Linked DNA regions of Nothobranchius furzeri. The protein of the gene in region 1 interacts with the protein of each later gene in a pairwise test. Links are inferred from orthologs where the notes say so. Each region holds a gene or a part of one and is shown in the gene's direction. Other genes may lie near its edges.

Region 1 (6,791 bases):
ATTTTACACTTTAACTAAATATTTGGTTTAAAACCATAACACATTTTACTAGGTTTATGTTGGTGTTGTACGGGGTTCTGGTTATTTAAATTAAAACATTTGTGATTATTTTTAAATGTTTATCATTAGACTTATGGGTATATTATTCTGAAAATTTAGGTTTAATTATGGGTATTTAGACCATTTTTAAAAGATTTAAGTTTAACATTATACACTTTCTGTTTATTCTCTATATTTAATTATTTATTGATTGATCCTAAACATCTTTTCAGATGCTTAGGATTTAAACAATTAGACATAACATTGTGATTTATTGAAACAATATTGTGAAATGGTGACAAAGTTTTCATTTTCACAAAGAGCCAAGTGTAATTACATGTAATTGTTGAAAATGCTAAAGTGGTCAAATGTAGCTGTTAATTTAAACAATCCACTACTTTAAAATCGGCCCCTCATAGAACAGTCACTCTGGGACTGGAGCGATAATAAGTGGCAGAGAAAGTTGAAAGGAGGACGAGGTCAAGTGTGAGAGAAAGGATGTCAGCTCTGTGGAGAGGAGAGGAACGAAGGAGATCAAACAGATTTAATGAACAAAAAGAAGAACGGAGACATGATGGAGAGAAAGAATGGAGAGATGTTCTGTATTAAAACAAAGGAAGGATCCTTTTTGGATGGATGTCCACCTCACTCATATGGTGTTTGTCTAGACAGCAGCCCCGCTCCTGTACAGCAGATGCAGCTTCTATTTGGGTTAGGTCTAAATAAAGGAGCCAGAGGAACAACACACCAGGGCTCCCTGACAGCTGCTGACATGTTTCACATGTTTTTACTTGAACCTGTTTCTCTGAAACATGATCGGGACACTCAGAACACTCAGCTGTTGCAGGGATACTGGCATCAACGTTGTTTGTCTGATTGTTACCTTTTTTATTCATCAGACAAAACTGCAAAGTTTAAATCTCTATTTACTTTATATATTTTGCTTCCAAGCAGAGAGATTTTTTTTATAACGTATCTTAATTTTCTCCAGGCCTTTAAAGGTTTTTAGGACCTTTTCCAGTCATTTTCTTGATGTTACGATGCAGTTTGTGTTTAAAACGATAAGAAGAGTCAAGCTGAAGACCGAGAAAAAGAAAAGAAAAATCTGTACTTTACAATAAGGGTCCCTTTATTAATGTTACCGTCATTGTTAACTATTAAGTGTCCTTAAGGAGAAAAGGCTGGGGTGGGTATCTGCTTAATAATGCATTGCATAATATGGTTAAGCAGTATTTATTTAATAATATATTAATGTTTAATAATGCATGTAACGTTAATGAATGGACCCTTATTGTAAAGTGTTACCAAAAAAATCCTGCTGAGATCCTTACACAGACCTTATAACATCATTTGTTCATTTGTACATCAAGATTTGATCCAACAGCTTTGTGAGAACCACTTCCTTGGTGCTAAAATTGTGTTCATTTGTCAAACTATTTTCTTCATTTTTTTTATTGATCCAATCAATTAAATGTGATCAATTCACTCTTTCTGAAAGGAGACTGTACCATATTGACTTGATTGTCTATTATTTATTTGCTATATGTTCTGGTGAACACAAACACACACACACACACACACACACACACACACACACACACACACACACACGCACGCACGCACGCACACACACACACACACACACACACACACAATCAGCCAAAAAGAACTGAACTATTCAGATTAAAGTTCTGTTAAAATCTTTTAAAGACTTTCTAAAACCTGGTTGATTTCTAGACCATTTAGAAGAATGCAAGAAAATTAAGCTCACTGGAAGCAAAATATGAGGGAAAAGGGATGATTAAAAACTTTTAATGAGTTAGTCCTAGCAAAATGTTCCCCTCGTCGTCAAAGAACCTTGGACTGTAATTGAGTTAATTAAGTATTTTGTGAAAATACAGGTTCTCATCTTGACTCTTCAGTCACTTTCTCCTCAAACTTTAGCATTTACAGTAAACAACAATAAAACAAAGGGCTAGAAATAAATATTCACTAACGTACATAACAAATAAGGTTTTTTTGTGAGTTTTTTGTATATTGTTGCTTTCAAACTTGTGGATCAAGTTGAACATTACTCACAAGGGCTTTAATAATTAGCAGTAATGCATCTTTCCACTCACATCTAGCTGTATGTTCAGCCTAAACCAAACTGGGCACTGAGGCGTCTGTGTGGAGGTGTGAAACAGGAGGATATAAGGTACATGTGTGTGTGCATGTATGCGTGCGTGTGTGTGTGTGTGTGTGTGTGTGTGTGTGTGTGTGTGTGTGTGTGTGTGTGTGTGTTTCCAAGAATAGTTTTTATAACAACTGTTCAAAGTGACACAGCAGTAGGCGTGTGTTTCTATAAACACTAAAGCCACCTCTACTTATTTAAACTCCCCTTTGACAGAACGGTGTGTGTTTTTAATGTTTATATTTATTTGGATGTGTGCAGCAGAGGAAGAGAGAAGCTGAATTCGGGAGAGGTCAAGTGGTGTGAACAACAGCGAGGAGGGAGGGAGGAGAGAGAGCAGAGTGGAGAGTATTTCTCTGAGAGTTTGTCAGAGTCTGGTGGCGCTTGGGAAGAAAACACGGATGCTTCTTTCTTCAAGGGACCAGAGTCCACAGATGCTTCAGGGAGAAAAGCAGCAGGATGCTGAGAGGATTCTGCTAACCTGAGTCGGTTTGTTTTTGTTGTAAATCAGTGACTGTGTTGTGATGGGGACTGTGAGTGAGCTGTGTGCGTCCAGTTTCCAAGCTTTTCTGTGTCCTGCAGTTCGAACAGGGACACCTGCTGCTGCTTCAGGTGAGTGATCCTTAATTTTAAACACTTAACATGTTTTAACTTGCTATAATCTTATAGTTTAAATGTTTGAGATAAAAAAATGTGCTGCTTTTGTTTGATGAATGGAAAACAAAGTATCTCCAGTGTTTAGTTGCCGTGGTGATTTTTCAGGATGAAGCTTTCTTTCTCTGTGTGTGTGTGTGTGTGTGTGTGTGTGTGTGTGTGTGTGTGTGTGTGTGTGCCATGCTGTGTTTCTGACATTTCTGCGTTCATGTGTACACATGAGTCAGTGCGTGTGTGTTTTGTGTGAGAAGGTGGGCTTGATTTGAGAACATGACGCACGCCCCTCATCATCCTCGCCTGGTCCAGGATCCTCCTCTCCAGTGGGTGCTGGAGTGACATAATCTCCATCACTGCCCACTGCTCTCCCTCCGTGCAGGTGCCTTTTTTTTTGCGTCAACGCACTTGTTCAAAAGCCATCATTGTGCTTTGAAAGGAGCCTCACACGGGTTAAGTTCATTTCCCTTGCAGTTTTCATGAATATAGCTGCACTCTGTAGTTTCTATTGTCCGAATTTACATTTTGTTTTAAGCTTTGAAGTCACTAAAACAGGGAAGATTTCACCAATAATCCCTTTTAGATATTAAGAAGACTCCCTCTTATGGCTTATACTGGTCAAACTTAGTTTAAAATTATATCTGTACCCTTAGACGCCATTATTTCAGCAGAAAGGACAAACCTCAGCAGACATTTGTCCAATTTAAAATAAAAAGTCAAATTAATTAGATATGCTGGTAAAGGTTCTCAGTCATCCAGTTCATGGGAATCCAAAAGGGTTCAAATGAAGACACCAGGGGTCTCATTTATCAAACATTGCATAGAATCCTTACTAAAACCATACTTAAGCTCAGCAAAAAAAATGTACTTACGCCAAGTAGGTATGTGATCTATCAAACATGGAGTACGCACAGCTGCACGCAATCTCTGCTTCATAAATCAGAAACTATCTAGAAAGGTTCTCAGTTGCTTTTTAGTCACATCCCGCCCTCACCATGCCCACTTACTGCCATAAATAGTCAATGCAAATTGCCTTGTGGATCTCATGCATATACATATGCCGGCTGTTGCAGCATTTTGATCACGACCGCAGATCAAGGAAGCGCTATTTCATAAGCAGAAGTTGAGGTACCTGTGGGTGAGGCAGAGACATGAAAGGAAGTGCTTTTGCAAAACAAATAAGAAAAAATCCGGAGTCACACAATGTTGCCGAAGCCGTCAATGCTGAGTTCTTCAGAGAGATCTGTGGCGGACATAAAAAAAAATTATCCAATCAGGATTTGATCCCCAGACTCCCAGGTAAAATTCGCACACGCTAACCAGTCACCCAAACGGAAATCTCCCCTGTACATGTAGCCAGGGTGCATGATCAATCGGGTCACAGTGACAGGACACACACTGTCACAGACACATGACATTCTGTTTCAATCTGTCTCCCTGCTGACATTCTGCATTACGTATTCTGTGCTTCAAACTGTGTGTGTGTGTGTGTGTGTGTGTGTGTGTGTGCGTGCGTACGTGCGTGTGTGTGAGTGTGCGCGCATGTGTGTGTGCGCGCACATGTGTGTGCATTTTGGGGGGGTCTTGTTCTGTGTGAAAACAAAGCAGTACAAGTGATAATGCTGCTGGATTTCATAATTTTATCCTTCTCAGCAGCAGCACTGCAGGTACTCTCCATGTCCAAAACGTGCGTAAGCCAGGTCCTTAGTCAACTTAAAGTTGCGCACATTTTTCCGCTAAGTTTTCTTTCATAAATCCCAAAGTTTGCGTGGAAAGTCGCTTATGCAGTTTTCGACCCTGTTTTGTGCGTAACATAGTTTGAACCAAAGTGGGAGGAATCATCATCATTAGTGACATGTAGTAGCTACTGGTCAGTGATCAGTGATATTAGACGCTCCTGCTCCCCTCTGATGACCTCGAGGATAGAGCAGACTTTATTTAGTGGAAAGTCACTTGTTACAGCAGCACCAACACTTAAGAGAATAATTAGAAGAAAAATAATAACAAGGGTACGTGTATACACACACACACACAGGCTTCTTCACTTCAAACACAAAAGCATCTGCTTTAATTAGAAAAACTTTAACACCAGTAATTAGGCAAACCAAAGGAAAGTTGTGTTCTTTAGGCTGACCCATTACACTTCAGCAGCTCTTTCTCACCACACCTCGACATATCCTGTTTCTGGTGTGTCCAATCTACACATAAAGCAGCGATTCAATCACACAGCTGCAATCCTTTGCCCTCTTTTTCCTCTGTCCTTCACTACACCCTTTCCTCTCCCTTCCTTACATTCGTTCACACACCACCGGTCCATCAGCGACAGCCGATCTGCCCCCTCGCCTTCACACTAATGAGTCTGAATGTGTTGCTTCACTTCAGCAGGTGGGGGCTGTTATTTTAATGTCTTTTTTACAACACATATCTGGTCAAGCCCTGTTTCCTCTTCCTGGGGAAATGTGGAAAAAGTTACCTGACTGCCAACTTGCTGAACAAAAGTTACACAAATCCAGATTGAAGACAAATTATAAGATTTTTTTGAATAAGTTCACATATTTATTTGTTTTTATTTATTAATTAATCACTGCAACTGCTAAAGATGTCTATCTGGAAACTGCTGGTAAACTAACTTTATGTATTTAGAATAGATTACTGAGCCAAGAAATAGAAACAATAGACAATAAAACTCATTCCTTGGAGAACTGCTTAGATCAGGGGTCTGCAGCTTGTCTAGTTAATGCAAAATTGTGATGTATTTGAAAAACAAAGAAAAGTAAAAGTGAAATGTTGTTTTTATCAAGCGTTTTAAAATCTTGGAAGAAAATGTGTTAGTCACAATTAAATATTCCACAAAATGGCCTCAGTTTTATGCTCACTCTACTTTCAAGCATGCTTAATTATTTAAAGAGTGAAATAGTTTTTTTTTGCAGTAATAAAATAATCACATAGACTTTCATAATTAAGTGTTTTGTTTGTTCTAAGAAATTTTTCACCAGAAAATGTTTTGTTCCCTTTTGACAAAAGTTTAATTTGCACATAAGTCAACAATATACAGTAGTTCATTGATTTCAAACTACAGTTTTTAATTTATATAGGTTGTTAAATAATATTTATCTTTTTTCATTAATTTTCAACTTCAAGCGTATCTTGTAGCTCAGAACAAATTTGATCAAGAGAGAAAAAAGGCAGAAGCAGCTCTGATTGTGAAGACCAAAGATGAATAAAATACATAGTTTATTTAAATCAAACAAAATTTTCTAGGAAGTTTTTTTAAGATCTAAAATCTGGGGATTTAATAAATCGGTGAGACTTGGAAACAGTTTTGTAGCAGCTGTTGCAATGAGACAGTGATAAACAGTGATTCATGCTGACATCAGAATGTTTCTGGAAAACTGGAAAGCCTACTAAACCACAAAGCAGGTGTAACAGTCACATAAATTTAAAATATCAATAATTTTGATATAATTTTGAATTCAGAAAATACTTTAAATAAAACAAAATTGCCCTTTTAATTGCAAGTGACCACCTTATTTATGTTTTTGCATATTATGTAATTGCACCCTAAACCGAAACTTATGTAACAAAGTAAAACAAGATAGATAGATAGATAGATAGATAGATAGATAGATAGATAGATAGATAGATAGATAGATAGATAGATAGATAGATAGATAGATAGATAGATAGGCGCTCTCTGATTGGTTGCTGTAGATTGAGGCCCCGCCCCTTCACCCTGCCCTCACCGTCACCGGGTGTTTCTCCGCACACTTGACATCCACGGTCATTTTAACGAGACACAGGTTCTAAACGAGTCTCACGGTGTGACCCGGTAACTTTATAAAAGTGAACGTTTAACGTTTGTGTCTTCGGGCAAGTTTGAACCAAACTTTACCAACATGGTGTTAAAGTCGGAGGACGGAGTTGGTGAGTT
Region 2 (6,518 bases), on another chromosome or scaffold:
CAAACATCTTTTGTGTTTTTCTTCTGACTGCTTTTTTAGCTTATTTTTGAAACACGGGGAAGGTTTTTTACCTTGCTGACAGTTTTGATCGTGACGCCACTGAGCGTCAGCTCTGAGGAAGATCGCAGACACTTCTTAGGGCAACTTCCCACTGCCTCCTTCTTTCTCCATCTTTGAGAAATCTTAAACAAGAGACAAAATGTAGGCAGCTTTATAAATCATTCTAAATAGTTTACAGCCTTTTCCTTTAACATGAACATAAGACAAACAATAGTTAAATAAATGGTGTCAAGACAGAAACATGCAATGATTGATTAACCAAGAAATCTTGAATTCAAGCAATTAACCTTTTTAAAATCACAGTTAGCTGATAGATCTTAAACTTTGCCATCACTGTTATTTCTAAAAAGCAGTTAAAAGCAAAGCAGATGACAGAGACTAATCAGCCTAACACAGTTGAATGTTTTTGTTAAATCTTACGAATGAAAGGTGATCCCACGTTGCCGTGATTGAAGACATCGTCTATTAGAGCATCCATAGGCAGCACAAAAGTCATGCTTGTTGGGTTTCACGTGTATTTCTGTAAAAACAAAGCCAGCAATTTCCGCTATTTTAATATACTTCAGTCTAAGTTTTTTACATTTTTTTTACAAAGTAAGCCGCCTGGAAAACAAGGGCAATTTTACCCTCAGCTTCCACTGAGGTAAAAACGTTGTAGCTAAGCGGCGCAGCCACGGCAGCCTCGTCTTCTCTAAGCCAAGTTAGACAGCTAATAAACACTAAAACATCCACCAAGACAGCCATTTAGACAAACATTAGGTTTACGTACACTTCTTACTTTCGTTGAACCATACGAACCCTATAAAAATATTGATTGTGGTCTCTCTCTCAACCTAACGCGCAACATAGCTTAGCCGGGACACATTGTTCACAGTTATGTCGTGTTTCAAAAGTAATAACGGTAATTTCTACATGTGTAAGTTTCCCGCATCAAGTCTATGTATCATACGGTTTGTAATGAGGCAAACCGTTTGTAAATCCGTTAATATTTCATTGAGTTATGAGTATTTTTATTTGAGCCGTGCACTCACCCTCAGCTAGAGAACGGTTAGCTGTCCGAAGTAAGAGACCTATGGTGCCAACTAGAACCACAAAACTGTTAAGTGTAGTTTCTGGTCAGCAGAGGGCAGCAGAGTGTCAATGTCGAGCAGATCAAGTTTCTGACTCAAGAAGCACTGAAACCAGTTTGAAAGCAACATCATTAAAAACTAACTAGTGCTATTTTAACCTCATGTAGACTAGTTTTTTTGCTATATGCAGCACTTCCAATATTAGGACTAGTATATTCATCAGAAATGTGCAAATATTCAGTTCTACACCTGTCTTCTATCCTCCGGTGGAGGATCTACAGATGACATGGACCAGTTTAATCTCGACATATAATTAATTTAGGTACTGGTTGACCCGAATAGCTGTAAAAACATTTAAAGCACAATAATGACATTTAAAAAATAGAATGAAACTGTATTTTCCCCACACACAACAGACAACTTGATAAAGAATATTTAGAATCACACCCAGAAGAATTTTAGATCTTGATTCATGCTACAAACATATAATCACTTCCCATTTGTCAAGTTGTATTTACAAAAATAATGCACACCTCTTGTGTATTTATCCGATTTATCCCACTAAATCCATTCAATTCAAAAAGCTTCAAGAACTGCAAATCTGCAGGAAAATCTTGCATTTGTTTGCAACAATTTGCATTTTGAAATGACCGAAAAGCTAAAAAATCGACCAGATGAACTGTGAATAAAACAAACTGTTTTGCACAAGCAAATCATGTCAGTTACTAAACCACTTCTTTTTTTTAAAAGCAAGAACCTCAAATGTGAAGCATGTGGGTGGAAGTGTTATGATCTGTGGATGCAGAGAAATCAGCAGAAGTAACAAGTGAAACAACACATTTTGCATTTAAAACCAGAAACTCTTATGCACATTGACAAATCAACTAATAAAAAGAAGTAAAAGGGTTATTGAACTAGACAGATAAAACCCACTTAGTTGTTGCTGGGGGGGATTTGAAACAGGCAGCATATGTGAGGAAACTGGTAGACAAATATGCAAATTATAAAGACACTTGAAACAATGATGCTTCTGCAAAAGGGCTGAGGAGCTGCTGAAGACGAGGATATTAGTTTGTACAGAAGAACACACATCTGTGGATGCCTATTTAAAAATGCACATTTTCTTTGCAAAAAGAGGATAAAATGTCCAAATTTTAGCAGAAATTAAACAGATCTTGAGTCTAGTTTGTCACAGCTTGTCAAATAGCTTTATTTTTTAATGAAAAAGACAGGGTTTGGTGTTCAGAACAGATAACTAAAATGTTTTTTTGGACGCGATGTAATATCTAATGGGGTGGCTGGGGATTTGCAGCGTCCTCTGAAATGTTCCAGACAGTCTCGTGATCAGCTGGCCAGCGGAGGATCAGTGGAACGGAGTGGATTACTGTGACGCAACCTATTATTTCAGGAATCTTTCATGTGTTTTTCTAATGCACTGTTGCTGAAACAGTTTTCAGGTTTCCATGAAGACATTTAAAAAATCACAAGTGTTGCAGAGAGAGAAGTTCCTTTAACTCGTTTACCACAGTCTCCCTGACTTCTGTCCGGCCCAGTGTGTGATTGTTCATCTGATCCAACCATGTCTGATGCTTTTAGCCCAATGACCCATGCTATGTGTTTTAAACGTTCGAATCTGGCCCCTGAGCCTTTTGTCCGCCCTCACAAGACAAGTCTGCCTGCTTGGCAGAACACAGGGACCGAGGCTTAGCCCATTGAGAAACGGAGAGTGAAAAAGTGTGCAAGCAGGTGCTGCTGCGGGAGTGAGGTGGCAACTTTTCATGCATTGCTGCTTTCTGACAGACCATAAATCGAATTGCTATGACTACAAAAAGTAAAGGGACTCTTTGAAGGGGGGAATTAGACACAATAGCATCAGCACTCTTCCTCTTTTCCCCGTTTCGAGACAGCAGAGCAGCACTTCTAAAGAAAGAGAGAGAAAAAGCTGAAAGGAGGTGAACAGGAAAATAGGTGCGTGGTAGGCTGTGATCTGCAGATGCAGGTCCGCCACAACCCTCACATGACGTGGATTTCCGCTGTCACACATTTGGCTTTTGGCAGCACAGCGGGTCAGGGCCACACAATCACAGAAGAGCCGCTGCAGCGGGACAAGATGATGCTTTGAGAACAAACTCCACTTAAACACCATGAATTTTAATGGACTTCAGCGGGAGAGCAGCCAGGAGGTGCAGGAGAACAGTCTGAAGAAGAAGCCTCTGTGGTACCGGCGCTCACTGAGGGGGAACACTGATCGACACCGACAGAACGCTGGAACTCAACCTAGAGCCTGCAAGGTGAGACGACAAGCCAATTGCTGTTTGTATAAAGCATGATCTTTAACACGGCTTTTTGTCAAAACTGGTTCATAACTGCAAACTTCACACAAGGATTAGCTAAAGAACATTTTAATGAAAGGTTGAAATATTTTTGATTATTTTTTAAAAGAAACGTTTTTTCCCATCTGCAGCCCAAGCCAACCACCACCTCACTGGTTGATTACTCAGACCCACAAAGGTAAGCAGACCAGAACGCTCCGTTTTAGATTTATTACATACAAAAGTTCGCATCGCTCAATTATTCTTGCAACAATCTTCTGCACAGAACCTCAACCGTTTTGGAGAAGCACGACAATGAAACATTCGGATTTGAAATCCAGGTAAGCTCTACTTTAAGCGTAGTAAAATGCACATTCTGCTTATGATGGAGATGATAGTTTTGCATGACAGTGCTTTTTTGTGTGATCCTATTGTTTGCAGACATATGGATTGAAGCAGAAAACCAGCTCTGCAGTGGAGATGTGCACCTTCATAAGCAAGGTGAAGGAGGACAGCGTCGCTGAGAGTGCCGGGCTGACCGCAGGTAAACCACCCACATCCTCCTCCACATAGACCCAACTCAGACACGATAACCCATCAAAACTCATCCCATAATGATTTCTCACTTTATTTGTCATAGGTGATGTCATCATTACTGTCAACGGGGTCAGCATAGAAGGACTCTCTCATGAACTCGTGCTTAATCTAATACGAGAATCGACCAACAACCTAAAGTGAGAGAAAACACTGATCTTTAACAAAATGTCACTTATTTATTTAAAACTAGCATAATAACTATGTCATCATCTGGTTTCAGGATGGAGACTGGGTGTGTGAACATCCTGAAGCAGATAGAGCTGGAGAAGAGATTGGACCAACTCAAGGTGAGTCCCTTCACTGGTGTTGAGCAGCTCTAAAAAGGGCTCATCAGCCTGCAAGAGCCCACCTGGAAGCTAAAAACAGTCACTTTTTAAATAGATACGCAGCTAAAGGTCAATCCATTGCCTCTTTTCTCATTTATAATCCTTACTTTTTGAGCTGACATATTTAGTAAATCATAACTGTGATGTCTTCCACCCATGCAGCAGTCGCATCGCGAGAAGCTGATGGAGCTCCAGGCGCTCACATTACAGGAAAAACGTTTACTGCGAGGTGAGAGGCTTGGCTCAGCTGTCAGACCACAGCACTTCCTTTCTCACACATGCCTAGTCTTTTCTTCTAAAGCAGCCTTCAACATGTGAAACGCTGTTGCGCGTAAACTGTCGATGATTTTGCTGCTGGTGTTTCCCTGAGAAATCAGCATACAGCAGAAGCCGCGCATGACCTTCCGGTTGTGGAAACTTTTCCTGACAGCAACTTTGTTTTGTTTTCTCAGGTAATTTAAACAACCGCAGCCTCGACCTGCTCATGGAGGCCCAGGCTGCTCTGAATTCCCCTGTCGTTTGCCACGGCCGACGTTTCTCCAGCGACAGCAGCTACAAGAGCGGGATGACCGACGACAGCGACCAGGCCAGCGTGTTCGGGGAGCTGAGCTCGCCCAGCCCTGGCAGCGCGATCAGCACCACGGATGATGGCTGCTTCTTCTCCAGAGACTTTCCTACACAGGATGCCTCTAAGAGGCTCTCGTCCAGCAGCCTGCACCACCAAGCCCTCAGCCGCTCCAGCAGCTCCAGCTTGGCCGGCAGCAACACCTCCTTATCTCCATCCTGGGATGAGACGAGGATCTCGTCCTTGTTTGGAACTCTGCCCAGAAAGAGCAGGAGAGGCACTGTGCGCCAACAGATCTTTAAGTTAATTCCTGCACTTCAGAGATCAGTGGAAGAGGAGGAGATGGCGACACCCACTCAGTGACCTACTGGTCATCCATGTGTAGACACAACAATACGATTGGACACTTTAAAGGGGGCATCTTATGCACAACTCACTTTTTGCATCTGTTTGTGTGGCCATGTGGGTCTCTACTGCCTCTATAAACACTTGAAATGTGAAAATCAAAACCACCCGTCAATGTTTGGTTTCAGGTATTGGATGCTTAAAACAAGCCGCTTTAAAAGGCCCTCATTTGTGATGTCACAAACGGGGACATTTGCATAGAGCCCCCTCTGACATCTCCAGGCTGGAGGAGCTGTGGCTCTACTTCAAGCCCCTTACAGATATCTGAGCTTCTCAGCTTACAGCAGCTTGAGCGGGGGATGAGTGGGCGTGGCCAGCTCCAGCTTGTTTTCTTAAAGTGACAGAGACCTGAAACGGCTCATTCTGGAAGGTGCTTAAACCATCAAAACTGCTGAGATCTCTTTATGTGATATTCTTTATATGGAAATAACTTCATAAATATGTTTTGTATTGACCACAGAACTATTATAAGTTTTCTCAAACTTGGGTTTGAGTGAACCCATCAAGTGAAAAAGGACTACCTTTTTTGGGTGAAGGTTTACCTTAATGCTTTTTGAGCCTTCAGTGAGCTTCACTGAAATTACAATGAGTGGGAAAGCATTACAAAATGAATGTGTTGGATGAATGTACACCCGACAGACTGAAATGTACAGAAGATGAATTACTGTATCCTACTAACTTGAATGAGAATTTCCTTTTTGTACCTCAGTGCTAGTAGCATTAACCAGAGCAGATTGAGATTTAATAATGCGCATTCAGTTTTAAAATGTGACCTAAAGAACATTTAAGCAGACTTCCAGGTGCCCAAACCAAAACCAAATCTACACCGTACACACATATACGCTTGCTTAGTTCAAAACAGGATGTGGGCGGAAGAGTACTACTTTACTTTTCTTTTTTCTTTTCTAAAATCACTTCGAAACCACATCTGCTTCAACTGAATTTCTTTGCTCTGAAACTCTAACACTGCTAGTTTCTGCACTTACTGATGATTATACGCAAATATGAAAGTTCTGCTGTTGATTTCTGTGCATCAAATCCAGATGGTGTAAATTTATGAAGTAATTAAAAAAAAACTTTCTAACTCTCTTTTTCTGGAAAGGTGTATGTGCAACAGGAAGAATGCTTTTCTATTGTAGATAAAGCACAGAAGCTTTCCAAAAACAGATATTCACCAGCAAAC
Region 3 (5,314 bases), on another chromosome or scaffold:
AGAGATGAATTTCACCAGTGTATGATGACTATGGGACTTTAAAGTAATGTAGAAACATGAAAATGTACACCCTCAAATATCAGAAACACCTAGTGTTCACGGATCAAGAACTTCTTTGATGCGACTCCTCGGCTGTGTTCTTGTCAGGACCCGTCTCACCTGGTCCACGTAGACCGCAAGAACCAGATGCGAATTTGGACGGTCATGTCTTCGTATTTATTCCTGTCCCTGCTTCAACATATGTCCTGTCGCTTAGCAACAGTGACAGTGCCAAACTGAAGTTCAAACTGAACTTGATAGAAATACACGAAGAAAAATTGGACCCTCCATATTGAATTAGAATAGAATAGAATTCAGCTTTATTGTCATTGCACATGTACAGGTACAGGGCAACGAAATGCAGTTTGCATCCATCCAGAAGTGCTTTAGCCGTGATATAGATGTAGAACAATATATATTAGCAATAATATAGATGTGTAAGTATATTACAGAAATGGATCTATTACGTATGTTATAATGTACACGGTATGAATTATTTTATGCGTATTCTATGACTACAAGTATGTACAGGCTGTAGTTAATACAAGCAGTCCATGAGTTTAACGTGGGTCATATGTCAGGAGGCAGAGTTCAGGAGTCTGACAGCTGTGGGGAAGAGTACCTGGTGGTCTTAGTCCGGAGGCTCCTGTAACGTCTCCCAGAGGGCAGCAGGGTGATCAGTGCATGTGATGGGTGACTGTGGTCTCTGATGATTTTCCCAGCCCTTTTCAGACACCGCTTTCTGTAGATGTCCTTTATGGCAGGAAGTGGTGCACCGGCGATGCGCTGGGCAGTTTTCCCGACCCTCTGCAACGCCTTCCGGTCCGAGGCGGAGCAGTTCCCATACCAGACTGTTATACAGTTGGTCAGGATGCTCTCGATGGTGCAGCGATAGAAGTTCACCAGGATGTCTGAGGACAGGTTGTTCTTCTTCAGAGTCCTCAAGAAGAAGAGGTGCTGGTGAGCCTTCTTGACCAGCTTGGAGCAGTTGGTAGTCCAGGTGAGATCCTCTGAGATGTGGACTCCCAGGAACTTGAAGCTGCTCACACGCTCCACTGCCGTCCCCTTAATGTGGATGGGTGGATGTGGGTCAGCATTCCTCCTGTAGTCCACGATGAGCTCCTTAGTCTTCTCAGTGTTGAGCAGCAGGTTGTTTGTGTCGCACCACTCAGTCAGACGGTCCACCTCCTCCCTGTAGGCGGTCTCATCATCATCACTGATGAGGCCCATCACCGTGGTGTCATCTGCAAACTTAATGATGGTGTTGGAACCATCAGCAGGTCTGCAGTCGTGGGTGAAAAGGGAGTAGAGGAAAGGGCTCATCACACAGCCTTGTGGTACACCAGGATTCATTGTGACTGTTGATGAGCAGCGGTTATCCAGTCGGACATGTTGAGGGCGGTTGGTCAGGAAGTCCAGTAACCATTTGCAGGTGAGGGAACTGATCCCCAGGTCTGTCAGTTTCCTGATGAGTTGTGAGGGGTGGATTGTATTGAATGCTGAACTGAAGTCTATAAACAGCATTCTGGCGTAGGTGTTGTTGTTGTCCAAGTGTGAGAGGACAGAGTGCAGTGCAATGGAGACTGCATCCTCTGTGCTCCTGTTCTGGCGGTATGCAAATTGGTGGGGGTCCAGGGTGGGGGGGGAGACTGGATTTGAAGTGTGCTAAGACCAGCTGCTCTAAGCACTTAGTGATGATGGGGGTGAGTGCTACCGGGCGGTAGTCATTGAGGCTAGATGGGTTGGAGTTTTTGGGTATCGGGACGATGGAGCTGGATTTGAAGCAGGCCGGTACCACAGCATGGGCCAAGGACAGATTGAATATGTCTGTGAGCACACCTGCGTGCTCCCCAGAGCACGCTCTGAGAACACGCCCAGGGATGCCATCAGGGCCTGCAGCCTTGTGGACATTGATCCTGCTCAGCACCGCTTGTACATCGGTGGGGGAGAGAGTCAGAGGTTGGTGGTCTGGCGTCATGTCTGTTATGGTTGTGGTTGTGAGGTTCCCTCGCTCAAAATGAGCATAAAAGTTGTTGAGCTTGTTGAGGAAGGAAACATCAGAGGATGCGGGGGAGGGTTTGGTGATCCTGTAGTCTCTGATGGTCTGGAGTCCTTGCCACATGTGTCAGGGGTTGGAGTTGGAGAAGTGTTCTTCTATCTTCTTTTTGTAATGGTGTTTGGCTTTTTTGATGCCCTTCTTTAGATTAGCCCTGGCTGTACTGTAGGTGTGTGCATCTCCTGTCCTAAAAGCGGTGTTGCGGGCCTTCAGTAGGAGACGAACATCCCGGTTCATCCAAGGCTTCTGATTGGGGTACATGGTGATCCTTTTCTGGGTGGTGACACTGTCTGTGGTTACGGAGATGTAATCCAGTACAGATTAGGCGTACTGGTCCAGGTCTGTGTTGGTGAACATATTCCAGTCTGTGTTTTTAAATCTGTCCTGGAGCACCGCGTCTGTCCCCTCTGACCACACTTTAATTGTCCTCACAGCAGGTTTCACACGTTGGATGAGTGGTGAATACCGAAGTGTGAGCTTGCTTTCAAGTATTTTTCTTATGATTTCTGGAAAAAACATACATTTAAACATAATTACAACAACTAAACAACACAACCACTTTTAATCTTTGTACCACCATATATTATTAACCCTCTCAGGCTCAAAATAAGTTTTGATAAAAGGACAAAAAACTAAGTCCTTCAGGGGTACTTCTGAGTTAAAAAATGCTCATGAAACACGTATGTGAAGTAATCAGGTAGGTAGGTTTTAACTATTGCGAATCTGCAACGCCTGCCTCCAGAGGGTTAACCAAACATTGAAAACTTTTATCCTCTCCCACTTCGTCCACCGTTGTTACAAGAACAAAAGTCATTTTTGGCTAGCTATGAATCCTGGGATGGTGTGGGCCAGTAAGGATACACCAGAGCCATCCTTCAAATTTGGGGACAAGAAAGACAAATTTGGAGATGCCTGAATGTGGACAGCCTCTGTTGCATCACTGATGTAATCTCCCTTCTAATGCAACCTGGGAAGGATTTGGACACAGCTCTAGTTTGATGGCTCAACTTCTACGAACATTGAGCCTAATTTTGAGCTTGTGTCTCACTGGTCAGTAAAATAGCGAATGGCTCTATCACGTTAATAAATGTCATTGTTTACACGAGGCCAAATATGATTTCTCTGAGAGGAACTCCGCTGGTTCAGTTTGCTGTCTTCTGTGTGTGCAGGACACATTGAATCCCAAGTGGAATTCCAACTGTCAGTTTTTTATAAAGGACCTTGAGCAGGACGTCCTCTGCATCACTGTGTTTGAGCGAGACCAGTTCTCTCCTGATGGTCTGTAACAGTTTTTACACCATCCTGTTTCCTGTCACCCGTCCAGGTTAAAGATGCTTCAGATTTATCCTCTCATCCTGTTTCCTGCAGATTTCCTCGGCAGGACTGAGATCCGGTTGGCTGAAATTAAAAAAGACCAGGGCTCAAAAGGACCAATCACAAAGAGGCTGCTGCTCCACGAGGTCCCCACAGGGGAGATCGTTGTTAGGCTGGACCTCCAGCTGTTTGAGGAACCGTGAACCCCGAAAACTGGATTGGGCCAAAAAAGGGATCAGAGATGGGTACTGGACTCCGCAGCTGGACTGGAACAGACCAGACTGGAGACCTGCTTTGGTCTGGAGCTTTTCAAGTAGAATGTTTATATTATTCCTCATAATAATAGATAGTTGCTGAAAGGTGTCCCTGTCTAGAAATGTGGCGTGTTTGACTCCACGATTCTGTCATTTCCCCAAACTCTCATTCACTATCTAGCATATCGGGCTATCCAGATTAACTCATCTGCACCATGATGGAAATGGATCCATCTAGAAATCAAACCTAGACCAGTTTCCAGCCCAGTTGTGTCCAGTCTATTCTGCTCGTGTCCTCCTTCCGTGTGGTCCAAAGCTGAACATCAGATGGGTTTTTCCTGTTTCCTCCTGCTGCTTCAGCCAGTCTGTCCTACAGACGCTCTGGTGACAATCCCTTTGTCATCTAAACAAACTGCTGTGTGTATCCGTGCGCATGTGTGTGTGTGTGTGTGCGCGTAAGGTGGACAGGCAACGTAAAGCGCAAGTTTAGTCTACATTTTTTATGCCGCATCCTACAGACCTTTCCAAGCTACAGAACATAAAGGGACATTCAGAGGGTTGTTTTTTATTGTCTGCTGAACACTTGCCACAGGATCCTAGGAAAGGGTAAATATGTACAGTTGTATTGAGAAATACTAACAGTGCTAATAAGCTAAAGTATAGACAGATTTTTACTCCATACATGACAAGTGTCCAGTGTAGACTACAGACTACGGTCATGATGAGGTACCAGTTAAAGTTACAGTGGGTACAGTGAACAAGTTCAAAGCTGAATTAAATCAAAGTACTGGGAGGAAGAATTTCTTAACTCGTTTTTTTAATGCTTGGGACCAATATTGGTCATAGATTTAGATCCTTTCAGTCACACATCTCAAGCTGTCCTAGTGGTCGTCTCTATGCAACAAGGGAACATGCTTCTTTAAAGCGGAAGAAGCTCGTTGGTACTCCCTGGAGAAAAAATGTGTTTCTTTAAGCCATCAAAGAGACCATTTTGAGTAATCAGTGTAGGAAATATTGCCTGGAACAACACAAATATTTGAAGGCAAGTCTGTTTCATTTTAGCATAATTGTCTCTGCCTATACCTTGATACACATTTATTGTAGCTGCTCTTAGTTGCTTCCTGCCTCATGATCTCAACAGACATTAGCTGAAATAGTCTTGAACTAATGAGCTATAGTCCGACTACTATCAATCTTTTATTTGCTTTTTAAATAAAAACAAATCACTCTCTCCTCTTGATGATATCTGAAGCTTCAAATCTGAAGCCTCTGCTTCCAGGAGTCTCCAGATAAATTATCATCCCTAAATGGATCATTTAAAAATATAAATATGTTTTTCATTATTAATATTGTGAAAGATTTGCTTTTCCTCCATTTTGCTTTATTTCAGCTACAGCTGGATGTATTTGTGAGACAGCTGCAGATACATTTATTATCTAATAAAAACGTAGATTAAAAAAGTCTGTTTTAACAACACAAAACATTTCTGATCATTTGGAAGTTTTTTTCTGTGTAAAAGTTATAAATGATTGCTATCTTACTTGTTGCAGACAGCTTTTTTAACATCCTTCAGGATTGATGGGCCAACTGCTCGTCAGAGTAACCCAGACGTTTCTTAGCATCTTAAACGGCTCCAATCTGCTAAATTTCA
Region 4 (6,682 bases), on another chromosome or scaffold:
TGTGAAGGAGGACTTCATACCTTCAGATTATATTAGATTTGAGTCATTTCAATATAAACTACAGTATCTCCTATGAGAAGTTCTCCTTGGTTCTCAAACTTGACTTTGATAATAAACTCAATAATCTCTAAAACAGATGGAATTTCTTCTTGGTTTCTGAAACCAGTGTGTTGTCTCCTTCCAGCTCGTCCAGGGATGCTGGATTTCACTGGGAAAGCTAAATGGGATGCCTGGGAGAAGCAGAAAGGTTGGAGATCATTGTTTACTGCTGTCAGTGTTTCCAGAGCTGCTGGGGCTACAATGTAGCTCATCACCGTGTGTGTGTGTGTGTGTGTGTGTGTGTGTGTGTGTGTGTCTGTGTACGATGGTACTGTAAAGCACTTTGTAATCTCCACGATAAGTGCTACAAAGATGCAGGCCATTTACTAAATATAAAGGAAGTCACTGTTGAGACTTTGGGTTATTTGATGAGTTTTAAGTCTATGTTTTCTCTTTTGACCAGGCAAGAACAAGGAGGATGCCATTAGTGAGTACATCAAGCTGGTGGAGGAGCTGAAGCAGAAGTATGGAATCTAAAAATGACCGTCTGGACTCGGACCTCTCTACCCAGCCCTCTTCATGCCAATGTAGTGAAATGCCTTAAAGCCTGAGGAGCTCACTCTTGGTGACAGGATGAGCGATCATGAAGGCCTCATGAACCACCAGTCCTGTTCTGAGTTCATTCTAATGCCTGTGAGAACCTGTCTTTCTATGCTCTGATCAGCCTGTTTCAAAATAAAAGGCCTTGTCATTTTACACTGTGTGTTCTGATTCTTCGGTGAGAGTAACTAAATCTGTTAATTTATATTTTATTTTTTTTCTCCAGAAAACTATATAATTATAAAAATGTTGAATGTGGGAAATTCCTCTCCCAGTAAACCAGGCAAATATGGCTGCAGATTTACACCTGGAAATCTGCAAGCAGCTTCCCTGAAAATATAGGGAAACTCACCATGATGGGGAGTGCACATATAAACCTGAGCTGCTCGCTCAGATGTCGCAGGTGAAGCACAGGCACCACCACTGCTGTTGTCTGGTACTGATGGTTGCTGTCATCAGGACATGACAAAGACTTTTATCCTAGCCCAACACGAACAAGGAGTGGACAAGCTGACTGCCACCTACACTTGGTAGCAAATGACCAATGATTGTGTTGTAACATCCTCCATGTGTCTGCTCGCTGTCAGAGACTCTCTTGGTCAGCTTGCTCCCCACACCAAACCTTCTGTCAGGAATCTTGGCGTGACCTTTTACCCAGCTCTCACTCTGGATTCTCATGTCAGTTCTCTTGTTCGCTCTTCCTTCTTCCATCTCAGGAACATTGCTAAGCTGAGTCCCATTCTGTCCCGCTCTGAACTTGAGACAGTTGTCCACACCTTCATCTCCTCACGCTTAGACTACTGTAACTCTCTTTTCACGTGTCTGAGCAGAACCTCCCTGAACCGTCTACAGGTGGTTCAGAATGCCTGTGCTCGGCTTCTGACCAAGCCCTCCAAACACACCCACATCACCCCGCTTCTCCTCCAGCTTCACTGGCTGCCAGTCAACTTCAGGATTCATTTCAAGATCCTGGTTCTGGTCTATAGGGCCTTACATAGACAAGCACCATCTTACATTGGTGATCTTCTCAGTCCCTACACCCCCAGCAGGTCCCTGAGGTCCAGTGATCAAAGCCTACTGGATGTGCAGCACCAGGCTAAAGACCAAAGGTGACAGATCATTTGCTGCTGTGGCCCCCAGACTCTGGAACTCTCTCCTCCTGAGCCTGAGATGAGTGGACTCAGTGGTCTCCTTTATAAAACAGCTGAAGACTCACTTGTTCAAGCTGGTTTTTGCATGACCTTCTTCACCACTCTCTTTATTCTGCTCTCCCCACCTATTCCACCTTCCTCAGGATCCACTGATTTCCCTCTTTCCTGTTCACTCTCTCTCTTTCTTAACATTTTTTAATCACAATTGTCTATTTTTGCTCATTTTAAATATATTTTTAAACATTTTCTAAATGCTTTATGTTTTTACAATTTTTGTTTTTGTGAAGCGCCTCGTGATTTTTATCTTGAGAGGCGCTATAGAAATGATATTTTCTTCTTCTTCTTCTTCTTCTTCTTCTTCTTCTTCTTCTTCTTCTAACATTCACCAAGGGAGGAACTCAACCTGTAGGTACAAGAGGAGAATGTGTCTTGAAGAATTAGGAAGTTCCCTAGTTAAGGCACACTCTGAGCTGCCTCAGCTTTAAGGAAGCTGCACCGAGCTCTCCATCCACGCCCACAGGAAGAGCATCAGTGTCAGCAAACGCCTGTATCAACAGCTACAGTCGTAACCCTGTTAGACCCCATGATTCTAAAAGAAAGGGATGTTAAGGCACATCTAGCATCAGCAGCAGAAACACACACTGCTGTCATTGCAAAAAAAAATTATAATAATAATTCAGCCAAACCACTAAAAGTTGCACATTTTGCCACACATGCATCAAAACACACACGTGCATGTTCTTACACAGAGACATTTTATCGACCTAGAACAAATATGCCGTGCCTCTGCTGAAAACATGAGCTCTGCTAAGATCACCTTAGAGGGATTACTCTGATGCACATGCATACCACTGCATGGCCTTGCACCATTTTAGGTTATTTGTTTAACCTTGCAAATCTACATTTTATTAATGTCTTGCCTTGTTCCTGTGGTAAGTAAGACTTTAAATTGACCTGTAACACCACAGATGTTACCATAGCTGTAAGAGGCCATAATACAAATACTAAAAACCAACTTCTCATGGATACAGACTAACAAGAAACACATTGGATGATAAATAATAATATATTAAATAGATATTTTTAAATAGAAACATAAAGCTAACACAAGAGGAAGGACCTGTGCTGTGGGCGGAGTTTGTCAGGGTTCTGTTTCCAGTAACTCCGCAGCTGCTCAAAAAAAGCACAGTGAAGGCTCTGGTGAGTTGACAGCATTTTCTTATGTCGTTATTATGAGTTTTGCTGAGAATTGCTGCAAGCCAATTTTTTTTTCAGAATCTTTATTTATAATCTTTTTTGTTGTTAATTATTATTATTCATTTGCTTTTTAACAATCTTTCATTTTATTGGTTGCCTTTTAATCATGTTTTAAGTTTGATGTGGTTTCCTTGGTGATTATTTCTGTGATGCTTTATAAATAAGCTTTACGTACTAATCTACAGACAGAACTGCACCAGAAGTACTGTTGGTTCAGGACCTCATTAAACTGAAGGCTGTCTGGGTTGGTCACCTTTTAGGGAACATGAGTGAGGCCAGTTTTCTGAAACTGTCTTTTGTTTGGTTTGAAAGCTCATTAAATGATTGTGTCTGAAACTGGATGAACTTCCCAGTTTGTGGTTTTAAACAACCTGTTGAGGTTTTCATGTTGGATGAACAAAGCAAAATCCAACTTTAATTGTTTTGTTTTAAATACTCTGTCAGAAGTGTTTCCTTTTTGAGAATAGAGCAATAAAACAGGAAGTTAGTGGGGTTGTGTGAATACTTCTGTTTTCAGGAGAGATTGCCCTCTTTTGGAAATGAAAGTAGCTTCATGGCAAAATGTGATTGTTTTCCTGTGTTTTAAATAATAGCCCACTGATATTTTGCAAACTTGATGGTGCCTTGACCCATCCCTGTGGGACACCAGGGTGATGCTCATGTGAACTGGCAGGTTTTACAGAATGTTTCTAACTTGAGTCAGAGCAGATGTCACATTACTGTGTTTCAGGTTTAAGTTTAATAACTCAAGTTAAGATTCAGGTAAACAGAGGATTCAGCTGAACCGGTTAAGCCCGGGTGAGAAACAGGAAGTTACAGTAACTCAGTTAGATCTTCAGCCTCCAGCTGCTTCCTTTTATGGTGTGAAGTCGTGACAAACTGCAACCGTTCGCTTTTAGTTCATCACAGAACTCTGTGGCTTTTACACACAGCTGCATCACATCACAGATATTTTGAGCCAGCGGCAGAGCATGTATGAATGTACATTTGGTGTATGTCCATCTTAGAACTGGACAAATCTTGTATGTTGCTTTATGCAATGAAAATAAAGTATTCTATTCCATTCTTGCTGGTTCATTTTGTTTAGATTATTGTAAAAAAAATAAAATAAAAAAATACAGCATGGAGAGAATTCTGTCTGAAATGCTTCAGCCACACTGAAATTACCCACCAGGAAGAGCACACCAGACAAGAGAACATCCCATATCAGTCCCCACCACATGCATGTTATCCTACAAGGGAGCATTGGCTCAGTCTCCCTTTCAGACATTACTCATCTATTGGTTTAAACACAAATGAAATCAACATTATGAAAGGTGAATCAAAAGAAAAAATTCTGGATGTAAACGACAATGAAGAAACTAAAAAAATCCTGAAGAAATTTTGAAGGGGCCAGCCAGCTGGGGCGTGAAATTGTAGGGGGCAGAAGAACCGTGTTAAGAGTATTCTGCTGTGCCACCATGAACCAGACAGGAGTGTGATCAAACAAAACTAATACTTGGAGTGCATGGTATGGTGCTTATTTCCTATGTATTTCAGGAAAAGCTCCCTAATCAATATTTTACTAAACTTTTAATCAAAGGCTAAAAATGGAACCTAGAATGAAATATACATAGAATATGTGGGACAATGAGTCAGGCTGGGAATTTGAGACCATCCCAGGCCACCACCTAAGTAATGCAAAAGGTGTCACTGATGTCAGAGTGTAAAACAACTAAATGAAGGCTGCACATATGCAGCCGGTTGATGTTGTACAGTGTCCATTTTCACACTTTAGAGAAGGTCATCTGATATAATGTCCTTGTTGGCCCTTCATAGGTGTTTGTTACTGTCGTGTTGTTGTAAAGGTTTTACCATCAAGCAGGCAATGAAACTCCTTAGAAACACTCATGGAGGAAGCTTTATTAACCCACCCTGCCTGCTGGTGGTGGCCGGAGGGACCGGTGGCGGCTGTTAAATGCAGACAGCTGTCAGTGTGCCCCAGGGCAGCTGTGGCTACAATGTAGCTCATCACCACCAGGGTGTGAATAGGTGTGTGAATGGGTGAATGACTGATTGTGTTGTAAAGTGCCTTGGGGGGTTCCAGGACTCTCAAAGGCGCTATACCAAATACAGGCCATTTACCATTTACCATGGAGTCTTTCTCCCGTCGGTCATCTACCGTTCTTCTGGGTCACATTCACATCTTTTTTTAACTGATGTCAAATAAATAAGTGTATCATTGTTATTTCCGTAGGTAAATGGCATAATAACGGAGGATGCAACTTGTTCCAGTCTGAGTTCAGCAGCATCTGTTTCTCCTGTGTAACAGAAAACTCGTGGAAACTGGTGACTGTGCACCACTTTAACACACGTCTTTTAAAGGTACGTGACTAAAAATCGATGAATGTGTCAAAATAAATAAATCACTTGAAAAAAAAATCATAGTTTAATATGAACAAATGTGTTGAAGGGGCTTTGGTCTGAATCCTTCATCAGTAACAGCGAACTCTTACAGAACATGCCAGTGTGTTGAACTTTTACAGCTACATAATCAACAGGCACTGGCATCTGATGTCTAGGTGTTCCCTTCCTGTTTGCTAACAGCTGCCGGCGTAATCAATGTTAACACAAGTCACATGTAAAGGTGTAGTCCCAACCCTGCTTCAGTCTACCATATGTTTTCCACTGCACCTCCTTTTTCAGTTGTTTCCATTAGGAGGAAGGATAGTAAAACACTCATCTTTTTTGCTGTCACTACTTAGCTTACATAGTTCTGTTGGGAGGAATACTAAACAAAAATGTATTCTGCTCACCACTAATGGAGGGTCACGTACCTGTGGTGGTCTGTGACGTTGTGTACGTGGTTGCAATTATTAAACTGTCAATGAAATATGAAAGGTATTCAACAGATGTGATGTTCCTAAAAATTATTAATCAATAATATTATCGAGCCTTTAATATCCAGTTGACACTGGAAACAGTTGACTTTGGGTAGCCAGGGAACCAACACTTACCAATAATTTGACACAGACGTAAATAGTTTATAAAAATCTATTTATTACTATATTTCTAATGATCATACAGAATAAGTGTAGATAAATGGCTATTTAAGGTAAAATCAACTGAGACAATAACCAAACTTAAATGAAACTTTAGTTTCTAATTAAGTGTTTTAGAAAAGGATGTGATATCTGGGATTATAAAAATAATCTGGCTAAAAGCAGTGATGTTTAATTAGTTATCAAATTAATTAAAACCCATCAAAAGCCAGTGTGCAGAGCTATGGTACCCGTGTGATGAGGGTTCTTGGCGATGCGGCGGGTGGAGAGTCTTCTGAGTAAAAGAGTTGCTTGACTTCTAGATATCAAAGGCCGTAGTCGTCTGAATCTGCACGGCTGGTCAGTGAGATGCTCCCCTGGGTGACTGCTGGAAGCTGGCGGGTCATTTTGCATCTGATGCAGTTTTGTTAAACAATTAATAGTTGTTTGGTTTATAAAAAGGATGGTTCGATGCCGCTAAAAATTTTCTGTTAAAAAACCTGGTTTGATCTTCCAAAATATGTTAATTTCGTGTTTAGGCAGGAACTGCTGGAGACAAGGAATCGTTCCTCAATTTTAAGGGTGCGTTGAAGCTGGACTAATCAGAGGCCAGAT

Evidence for each region.
Region 2: the proteins of cyth1b (region 1) and cytip interact in binary tests that used the Homo sapiens proteins (3 or more experiments, as listed by UniProt). The link is inferred for Nothobranchius furzeri from reciprocal best matches to the Homo sapiens genes CYTH1 and CYTIP.
Region 3: the proteins of cyth1b (region 1) and itsn1 interact in a two-hybrid assay, tested with the Homo sapiens proteins (2 studies listed by BioGRID and IntAct). The link is inferred for Nothobranchius furzeri from reciprocal best matches to the Homo sapiens genes CYTH1 and ITSN1.
Region 4: the proteins of cyth1b (region 1) and itgb2 interact in a two-hybrid assay, tested with the Homo sapiens proteins (2 studies listed by BioGRID). The link is inferred for Nothobranchius furzeri from reciprocal best matches to the Homo sapiens genes CYTH1 and ITGB2.

The regions. Positions count from the first base shown.
Region 1 is NC_091756.1:44,727,254-44,734,044, reverse strand, and holds the start of cyth1b (cytohesin-1b), read left to right. Parts: upstream 1-2,505; 5' UTR 2,506-2,736; coding exon 2,737-2,824; intron 2,825-6,612; exon of another isoform or gene 6,613-6,756; coding exon of another isoform or gene 6,757-6,784; intron 6,785-6,791. UniProt on the Homo sapiens protein: Promotes guanine-nucleotide exchange on ARF1, ARF5 and ARF6. Promotes the activation of ARF factors through replacement of GDP with GTP.
Region 2 is NC_091754.1:18,854,767-18,861,284, reverse strand, and holds the start of cytip (cytohesin-interacting protein), read left to right. Parts: upstream 1-2,736; 5' UTR 2,737-3,274; coding exon 3,275-3,421; intron 3,422-3,594; coding exon 3,595-3,641; intron 3,642-3,728; coding exon 3,729-3,783; intron 3,784-3,883; coding exon 3,884-3,986; intron 3,987-4,082; coding exon 4,083-4,176; intron 4,177-4,259; coding exon 4,260-4,326; intron 4,327-4,527; coding exon 4,528-4,594; intron 4,595-4,817; coding exon 4,818-5,293; 3' UTR 5,294-6,518. UniProt on the Homo sapiens protein: By its binding to cytohesin-1 (CYTH1), it modifies activation of ARFs by CYTH1 and its precise function may be to sequester CYTH1 in the cytoplasm.
Region 3 is NC_091752.1:40,905,363-40,910,676, reverse strand, and holds the end of itsn1 (intersectin-1), read left to right. Parts: intron 1-3,264; coding exon 3,265-3,373; intron 3,374-3,463; coding exon 3,464-3,612; 3' UTR 3,613-3,832; downstream 3,833-5,314. UniProt on the Homo sapiens protein: Adapter protein that provides a link between the endocytic membrane traffic and the actin assembly machinery. Acts as a guanine nucleotide exchange factor (GEF) for CDC42, and thereby stimulates actin nucleation mediated by WASL and the ARP2/3 complex.
Region 4 is NC_091746.1:33,742,962-33,749,643, reverse strand, and holds the start of itgb2 (integrin beta-2), read left to right. Parts: upstream 1-2,900; 5' UTR 2,901-2,990; intron 2,991-5,283; 5' UTR 5,284-5,411; intron 5,412-6,682.